Daphnia pulex: one gene and its partner. The protein of the gene in region 2 binds, or shares a complex with, the protein of the main gene of each other region. Links are inferred from orthologs where the notes say so. Each region holds a gene or a part of one and is shown on either strand. Other genes may lie near its edges. The genes, in order: eukaryotic translation initiation factor 3 subunit L-like and eukaryotic translation initiation factor 3 subunit J-like.

The links.
Region 1: eukaryotic translation initiation factor 3 subunit J-like (region 2) and eukaryotic translation initiation factor 3 subunit L-like share a complex: the UniProt entries of both Homo sapiens proteins name them as parts of the eukaryotic translation initiation factor 3 (eIF-3) complex. The link is inferred for Daphnia pulex from reciprocal best matches to the Homo sapiens genes EIF3J and EIF3L.

What each region holds. Positions count from the first base shown.
Region 1 is NC_060018.1:1,452,374-1,456,684, reverse strand, and holds eukaryotic translation initiation factor 3 subunit L-like, read left to right. Parts: upstream 1-1,294; 5' UTR 1,295-1,440; coding exon 1,441-1,464; intron 1,465-1,525; coding exon 1,526-1,725; intron 1,726-1,792; coding exon 1,793-2,004; intron 2,005-2,065; coding exon 2,066-2,185; intron 2,186-2,247; coding exon 2,248-2,357; intron 2,358-2,415; coding exon 2,416-2,586; intron 2,587-2,649; coding exon 2,650-2,820; intron 2,821-2,881; coding exon 2,882-3,028; intron 3,029-3,091; coding exon 3,092-3,255; intron 3,256-3,315; coding exon 3,316-3,484; intron 3,485-3,548; coding exon 3,549-3,683; 3' UTR 3,684-3,766; downstream 3,767-4,311. UniProt on the Homo sapiens protein: Component of the eukaryotic translation initiation factor 3 (eIF-3) complex, which is required for several steps in the initiation of protein synthesis.
Region 2 is NC_060019.1:7,843,364-7,846,844, forward strand, and holds eukaryotic translation initiation factor 3 subunit J-like, read right to left. Parts: upstream 1,990-3,481; 5' UTR 1,925-1,989; coding exon 1,903-1,924; intron 1,770-1,902; coding exon 1,675-1,769; intron 1,431-1,674; coding exon 1,371-1,430; intron 1,308-1,370; coding exon 1,115-1,307; intron 1,027-1,114; coding exon 856-1,026; intron 793-855; coding exon 602-792; 3' UTR 528-601; downstream 1-527. Other genes in the region: secretory carrier-associated membrane protein 2-like, read left to right, coding at 2,331-2,387, 2,557-2,664, 2,724-2,825, 2,886-2,967, 3,034-3,162, 3,252-3,408. UniProt on the Homo sapiens protein: Component of the eukaryotic translation initiation factor 3 (eIF-3) complex, which is required for several steps in the initiation of protein synthesis.

The DNA of each region.
Region 1 (4,311 bases), on a different chromosome or scaffold from region 2:
CTAATATTTTTCGAAATGAAATTGAAAGAGAAAAACTCTCAAGTTTAACGGTCAACGTGCCTCGCGCTGGAATCCTCTGGATATGAATTTCCGTTTGCAATGGGACTGGCATTTATAACCTCATGAACAGCCTTGGGTGCAAGAGGGCGGAGCTTGATTGTGTTGCGCATTGCCATTGGTCCACGAAATCAAACATGAAAGCCAAATCCTTATTGGGAGATTCGAAATTTGCGTCCGCGCGTTTCGGTTATTTTTTGCTCCTAGAGATGCAGAGTTTATATGTTTCTGTATATAGTTGGCTGAATATTAAAAAACGGAGATATGACCCAATCAAAATTCTAAATAAGTAGAGAAATATTTGCAGGGCAACGTTTTTGGTTTGTCTCTAGTTCCTTTTATTGAACGTTATAATCTTAAACTTCAAAAAATGCCTGCTTCCATTTAAGTTCAGTAAAATATTAGAATTAAATATAAAGTTTCGATTAAAGATAAGATAACCCACTTATTGTCATCGGTGTGGCGAATATGGTAAGAAATAACACGCTTTGAAAATTCATTCCTTTTCCGTGGTTGGTATGTGATTGAAATATTGCCAATTACGTCTCTAAAAGGAAAGAAAACCGGGAACCGTATAAATTCAAAAACCAGTTTGTACGGCATCATGGTTTGCGATTTTCGAGTTGATTTCAAAGTAATAAAACCTGTTCGGCACTATTAACCATTGACTCCAGCATAGTTTTATGTAATCCTGCTTAAATGCATTAGGCATAATGGTCACATGAAACCACAAAACACTTATTCCAAACATGGCAAATAATCACCATGACAGCAGTACACACATGTATGCCGGTGAATCACGCGACAGGGGACGAGCCGGAGCCGGCGAGAAACGTAAAAACTCGGTCCCAGTTGTAGCAGACCTCTGCCAGACACGATCAATACTTATGTGTCTAGACAACCCATCCTGCAACTGCAACAAATCCACCTCAGCAGTGTTTTTATGGTTCCTGGGAAACACAGCCTGAATGCAGCTATTGGAGTGCTTGATGTCTTCATCCGTAAATTTGAAACAATTTTGGTAACCATTTTCTTTGAATATTTACTTCCTGATCAACTTTTGATCATGATTTGATATACTTGCTATAAAACAGAAAAACAGAATTGTAATGGCAGTCCCGTTTAGCATTGAAATCTGTTAAGTTTAAGGTAAATTAATCTCAACCGGAGTAAATAAGTTTGACGATCGATTTTTACATTCGAATTTTTGACAGATGATCTTTTGGAAAATTGTTGAGTACATGCGGCAACGCTGTGCAGCTACTATTATTTGACACTAGAGCCACTAGTAATCGAAATAGTAATCTTACTCGTGGACTTTTCTCAATTTTCCGCAATTTTCAATTGAAATTTAATAACTATCGGTATTGAAAAACCTAAAAGATGTATGCCGAAGAATTTGAGGATGTAAGTGTACAATAATTACAACATGTTCTGTACCTATCATCAAAAACTTTTTCATTTGTAGTACGAGTATGAAGCCGATGCCTATGAGCCAACCGGGGATCCACGGCTTGATGCTGAAAATGAACGATACACTAGCTATGGAAGTGCTCCCCAATATGCTCAATATAGCATGCCGGATGTGATCAAGAAATTCATTATTTATTTTCGAGAGATGGTAAACTCTGGAAAGTTGTATGAAATTCAGAATGTCTACGAGAACACGTAAGCCCACCACAGTGCCTGTCAGACAAAGTTGAATTGTTGATCCATTGTTTTTTACTCCATTTAGATTTCCAAAATTAACTGAAGAGCACTTCAAATCATCCCCTTGGCCTGATGCAGATGAAGTTTCCCCATTAGTGGATGATGATCAACCGTTTCTGATTCTCTACAAGGAACTTTACTATCGCCACATTTATGCACGAATCCAAGGAGGACCAACAATTGAACAACGTTTTGAGTCTTACTACAACTACTGTCAACTTTTCAACCATATTTTGAGTACTAACTTCACTAATTTTTAGATGTTTGCCCAAAGCCTTCATAAACCATTTTACTACAGGTGCTAAAAGTCCAGTTGTTTTGGAGCTTCCTCATCAATGGCTGTGGGAAATAATTGATGAATTTGTCTACCAGTTCCAGTCTTTTGCTCTTTTTCGTTGTTCTCTTCATAAGAAATCAGGTACACCCATCATCTTATGCTCCATCTTTTCTTTTCTCACCATTTTTTTTTTTTTTTTACAGCTGAAGAACTTGAATTCATCAGAATCAACCCAACTTTGTGGAACATTCATTCTGTATTGAATGTGTTGTATTCTTTGGTTGACAAATCCAATATCAACCAACAATTGGAAGTAAGAAGGAGAGAATCATTATTGGTTGTAATTTAAAATTAATACAATCGATATGTAGGTATACGCCAAAGGTGATGATCCCGATACCGTAGCAGGAGAATTTGGCCGCCGACCTCTTTATAAAATGTTGGGTTACTTCAGTCTTGTTGGATTACTGAGACTCCACTCATTATTAGGAGATTTCTATCAAGCTGTTAAGGTTCTTGAAAATATGGAACTCAATAAAAAGGTAAGCGCAAAATTAAAAATGATTTGCATTGCTTGTAAACGTAATCCATCAATCTCATTTTAGACTCTGTACTCCAGAGTACCTGCCTGCCAAATCTCAACTTACTATTATGTTGGTTTTGCTTATTTGATGATGAGGCGGTATGCTGATGCTATTCGGACGTTTTCCCATATTCTACTCTACGTCCAGCGCACTAAGCCATTATACCAGGCTAAAACATACCAAAATGACCAGGTCAATTAGATTTAAGTGAAATGAAATACTGAAATCTTAATCTCCTTTTTTGTGTTTATAGATCAACAAACAAACCGAAAAAATGTACGTTCTACTGTCGGTGTGCCTCGTTCTTCATCCTCAGCGCATCGACGAATCTCTACAGGCGATCCTGCGAGAGAAACCTCATGCCGAACGCATCGTGCGGATGCAAAAGGGAGAACTTCAAGTGAGTTTCTGTTGATATTTTTTAAAGTTAAAGCAACAATTTAAATTTGTTCAATTATGTTAGGAATTCGAAAATGCATTCGCTTTCGCTTCTCCGAAATTTTTGTCTCCTGTTCCACCTCCTGTCGAAGCACCACCTGCCGATCATCGCCGTGAACCATTTCAACAGTTGGCAAAAGTTTTCATGGATGAAGTACAACAGCAACTTACTTTGCCAACGATTCGCAGGTATTTGTTCAACATTAGATTTGAATGTCCGAGTATTATTAACATAAATTTTCTGTTTAGTTATCTACGTTTGTACACTACTATGCCTGTCGCCAAAATGGCTGCGTTTTTGGAAATGCCCGATACTGATTTCCGCACCCATCTGCTATGCTTCAAACATAAGATGAAGAACGTCGTTTGGACTAAAGGCACCTCTGGATTGGACGGTGAACTCCAATCAGGCTCTGAGGTGAAATATCTTAGAATTGTAGTTCTAGTGGAATGTATCTTATTTACGCTTTTGCTCGCATTAGGTGGACTTCTATATCGATGGCGGAATGATCCATATTGCTGACACGAAAGTAGCTCGGCGCTATGGTGATTACTTCATTAGACAAATCCATAAATTCGAGGAAATTAACCGCGTATTGAAGACACAAAAAGTTTAAAAATCCGATGCTTTACCTCCTTTAAATATGTTTTACATCTTATTGGTTTTTCAAAGGCAAAATACATAACATGGAGGAAGTTAGTGATTTTTAACTTTTTTTAAAGAGAATTTTTTTCTTACCTTTAAGTCCGACAAGTTACAAGGAAGTCAAATGAAATGAATGTAAGGCCACCAGTGATGTTATGTACGTTTCTCTTATTTTTGAATGTATTCAAATGATAAGATTATTTTTATTAGAGAACATTTTTTAAATAATTGGACCGAAGATCTTACTAGAAATGTAGACCATTGGCATCCTCATAGGAAATGTAAAAAAAAAAAAATGCTATCTAAAATCAAACAAGGGGAATTCAAACACACAAGGGCAATTTGAAAATTTTCAGTTTCAGTCAAAGCATCAGTAGGGAATATGAGTTTTTTTTTCATGAAAAAAAGCACTAACAAAAAGGATGACACGCATTACCCACGGCAGATGGAACGAGAAGAATCGTATTTGCAGTAACGGGCACATGAAAAGGACCTTATGTCCCCTCTCCAAAACAAAAAGCATTCGATTACTGCTGGTTGAAATTAGAATATCAAACGTCAATGTGAGAGTTTTAAATAAATTTAACATTTCAGGACTG
Region 2 (3,481 bases):
ATTCATTAACGAACTTTCTCACAGTGAAACGCCATATAACGAGTTAGAAGTATCGACCAAACAACCACTTTTATGCCACTACTAGTCTGCTACTCAGCAGGAAACGCACGTGCTTCATTTATTGATTAGGCATGCAGCCGGCTGCCACGGCAACGATTTCCATTACATTTTAAAAACAAAACCCCCCTAATCCCCTCTCTTACGCCCACTGGGTATCAAATAAGGATTCACCAGTATACAAATTTGCGGGGTACTCAAAACTCAAATTTAAAAAAATAAATATTGAAAGTTATTTGCTTACTTTTGACAGTGTGTAGCATTCAATGGGACAAATACATCTAACTACATCTAACTTTACAACTGTCACCATCTCCTTTTTTGACGCTAAAAGTAGAAAACTGGAACGTCTAAGAAAATATGCAACTTAACTCTATATATTGAATTAGAATAATTAAGAGGGAGGTTTTAACTTTTAACAGAAATTCAATCTCAATATATCTTAAAACACTGAAAAAACTGACAAGAGCAAAATGGCAAAATCATACATTTATTTTACCAATAAACCTTTTCCCGCCAAAAACAAAAGAAAAACAATTGGACCCTACATGAAGTCGTCATAGTCTCCTCCTCCGAAATCATCACCGAAGTTGTCGACCATTCCTTTGTCCATTTTTAAAGCAACTTTTGTTTTTCCTTTCTTTCCACCTTTTGTCGCCGCCTTCACCATCTTGAGTTTTTCTTCGTGCAAGGATTTGGTAGTTAGACTAACTTTTCTAAGGACTTCGACTTCCACTATGTTGAAAAACTGGGATGTAGAAAAGTTTTTAGCAACCAACATTAGAAAATGTGACTTACATCCAATGCAAACATCTTTAATGAAGTCCTCTATAAAATCATTATAGCACGCTTTAGTTGACAATGACTGAAGTTTTTTCACCAAGTTGTTCTTGAATTCTGAGAATTCCTCTTTAGATGAAGGGTTTGCTTCATCTATGCTTCCCTCTGTAGGCAAACTACCAGTAATTCCTGGAAAATAAAAATAACATTGAGAACAAAATATAAAACAAATCATGCTTAGTGCAGGTCAGCAATACAGTTTCCTAAGACAACTTACCAAAGGTTTCCTTGGCCATTTCAAAATCTGATTCTTCAACTAGTTTTTGTCTCCGAAGCTTTTCTGCTATTCTCTCTTCAGGTGTCATGTTTGCTTCCTGCAATATTTTTCTGGCTTCAGCTTCTTCTCTGCTTTTCTTTTCTTTTTCGGCTATTTTTTCTTCTAATCTTTTACTTGACTTTTTTTTGGTAGCCTGAAAGTAACAAACACATTTTAAATTTTTTGGATACTTTTACGAGAGATCACATGTACTTACTGTGGCTGCTGCTTTGACTTCAGCAGGCTTATTTTCTGTTTCTTCATCTTCCCAGCTATCCTATCATTTATAAACAAGAAAAAATGATAATTTTGAAATCAATCACAACTTTATGTAAAACTCATTGAGCAATAAGAATTTTTTGGCAAAAGAAGACACATGGTAGTCAAGTGAAAGTTGTAAGAATTGGAGCAGAAATAGAAAGGTACTGAGAGAACTTTTTTTCACTACAAGCGCTACAAGGTTCTACCAAATTTGTAGATATACTTACTACTAATATCATCACAATTGAATTACAACTCACCTTGACAGGTTCATCTTCATCCTCACCTTCCCATTTATCTGAAATTATGGCAGTCGTAACTGGAACAGGGACAGAGGGTTCAAAATCTTCGGCATCTATAATCACCACAAAATCGTATTTGATTAGAGTATACGATTAAATGGAACTTTGATATGCACTATTGAGAATTTCATACAAAAAACAGGTGGAATTGAATAACTTAATATAGAAATAATTAAATAAAATCACCCCAATCCGCCTCGGCCTCCATCTTCAACGAAAAATCGTGAACACACTAGTGTCCATGGCAGTTGCCAAATGCTTTCACTTTTCTAATAATGTTAATATGTGCATTACAAAATATTAAATATAGAAACCTAACAATAATTAAATTTTGAAACTTTATTGCAAACCTTTTATTATGAATTATTTAATTTTTTTTACCTGAGATATCTCGTTAATCCCAGCGTTGCTTAGTCTAGTGTTTCTGTCTTCCAGAGGCGCTAGTGTTTGCCTGTTTCCGAACTGCTTTTCTCTGACATTACCTGTTATTTAGCAATTGATAGGAGTTTCTGTCTGTATTAGTTGAGTTGACGTTTCACGGTGACCGTCGAAACAAAAGTTACCGCAAATTGGAGTAACAAAGTGACCGAAGTTAAAAAAAGAAATATTTGATAATGTCTGGATTTGATCAGAATCCTTTTGCAGAACCGGCTGTTTTCAACCCGTTTGCGGTAGATTATTTATAATATGTATATTATACTTACTATTACCATACTAATACCTTGGTTGAAAACTGGTGATTCATGGAGTACTCGCCGCATACAATATGAAAGAAAACCTTTTGAAAAATCACCTTGTTTATTAGTTTAGTGGTAAAGTGGTTGTTTACTTTCACAATAGGATCCATCTGTCCAGCAAGCTGCAGGAAACAATGCTGCGAGAGCTCAGCAAGGTCTTGAAGAATACAACCCTTTTGATGGTAGTAATCAAACTACCAGAGTTTCAATGGTAAAACATAATTTTATCATGAAAGTGGGAAGTGTGTTTGATTTGTTACAAAATTTAAGGACCGTGTTGGTGGAGCCAATCCACCCCCAACAATTCAAGCTGCCCCAGTGATATCTCCAGGACCACAACAACAAGCAGCTATGTCAAATGCGGATTTTCAAGTATTAAAACTTAAAAAGAAAGAAGGAAATCTTTATTCATTATATTGCATGGTTTTATAGAGACGTCAAGAAGAACTAGAGAAGAAAGCTCAAGAATTGCAGAGGCGAGAAGAAGAATTAAAGAATAATGTACCATTCAACTGTAGGAGAGAACAAATTTAAATGAAACTTTACTTTTTAATTTCTGTTATTTACTTCTTCATTACAGCTCAGCGCAATAATTGGCCACCACTGCCTGACAAGTTTTGTGTCCAACCATGCTTCTATCAAGACATCAATGTGGAAATCCCACTTGAATTTCAAAAAATTGTCCGCATGTTATACTATATTTGGATGCGTAAGTTAAACATATCATAGATTTCTTGTTTAAGTTTATTTTTGTTATCAGAAACTTTTATTGATTTTGTTTTGTTTCTTTATTTTCAGTGCACACCCTCATGTATCTTCTAAATGTTTTGGGCTGCTTAGCCTTATTCATTCAAGTGGGAAGTGGTGCCATGTTTGGCTTGTCAATCCTATACTGCATCCTTTTCACACCAGCTTCTTATCTTTGCTGGTTTCGACCTGTCTACAAGGCATTCAGGTCCGCCCTCATATTTCTAAAATTATGGCTTAACTTCACTTTTTAGAAGGAATTCGTTTTGTTTTGTAAACGT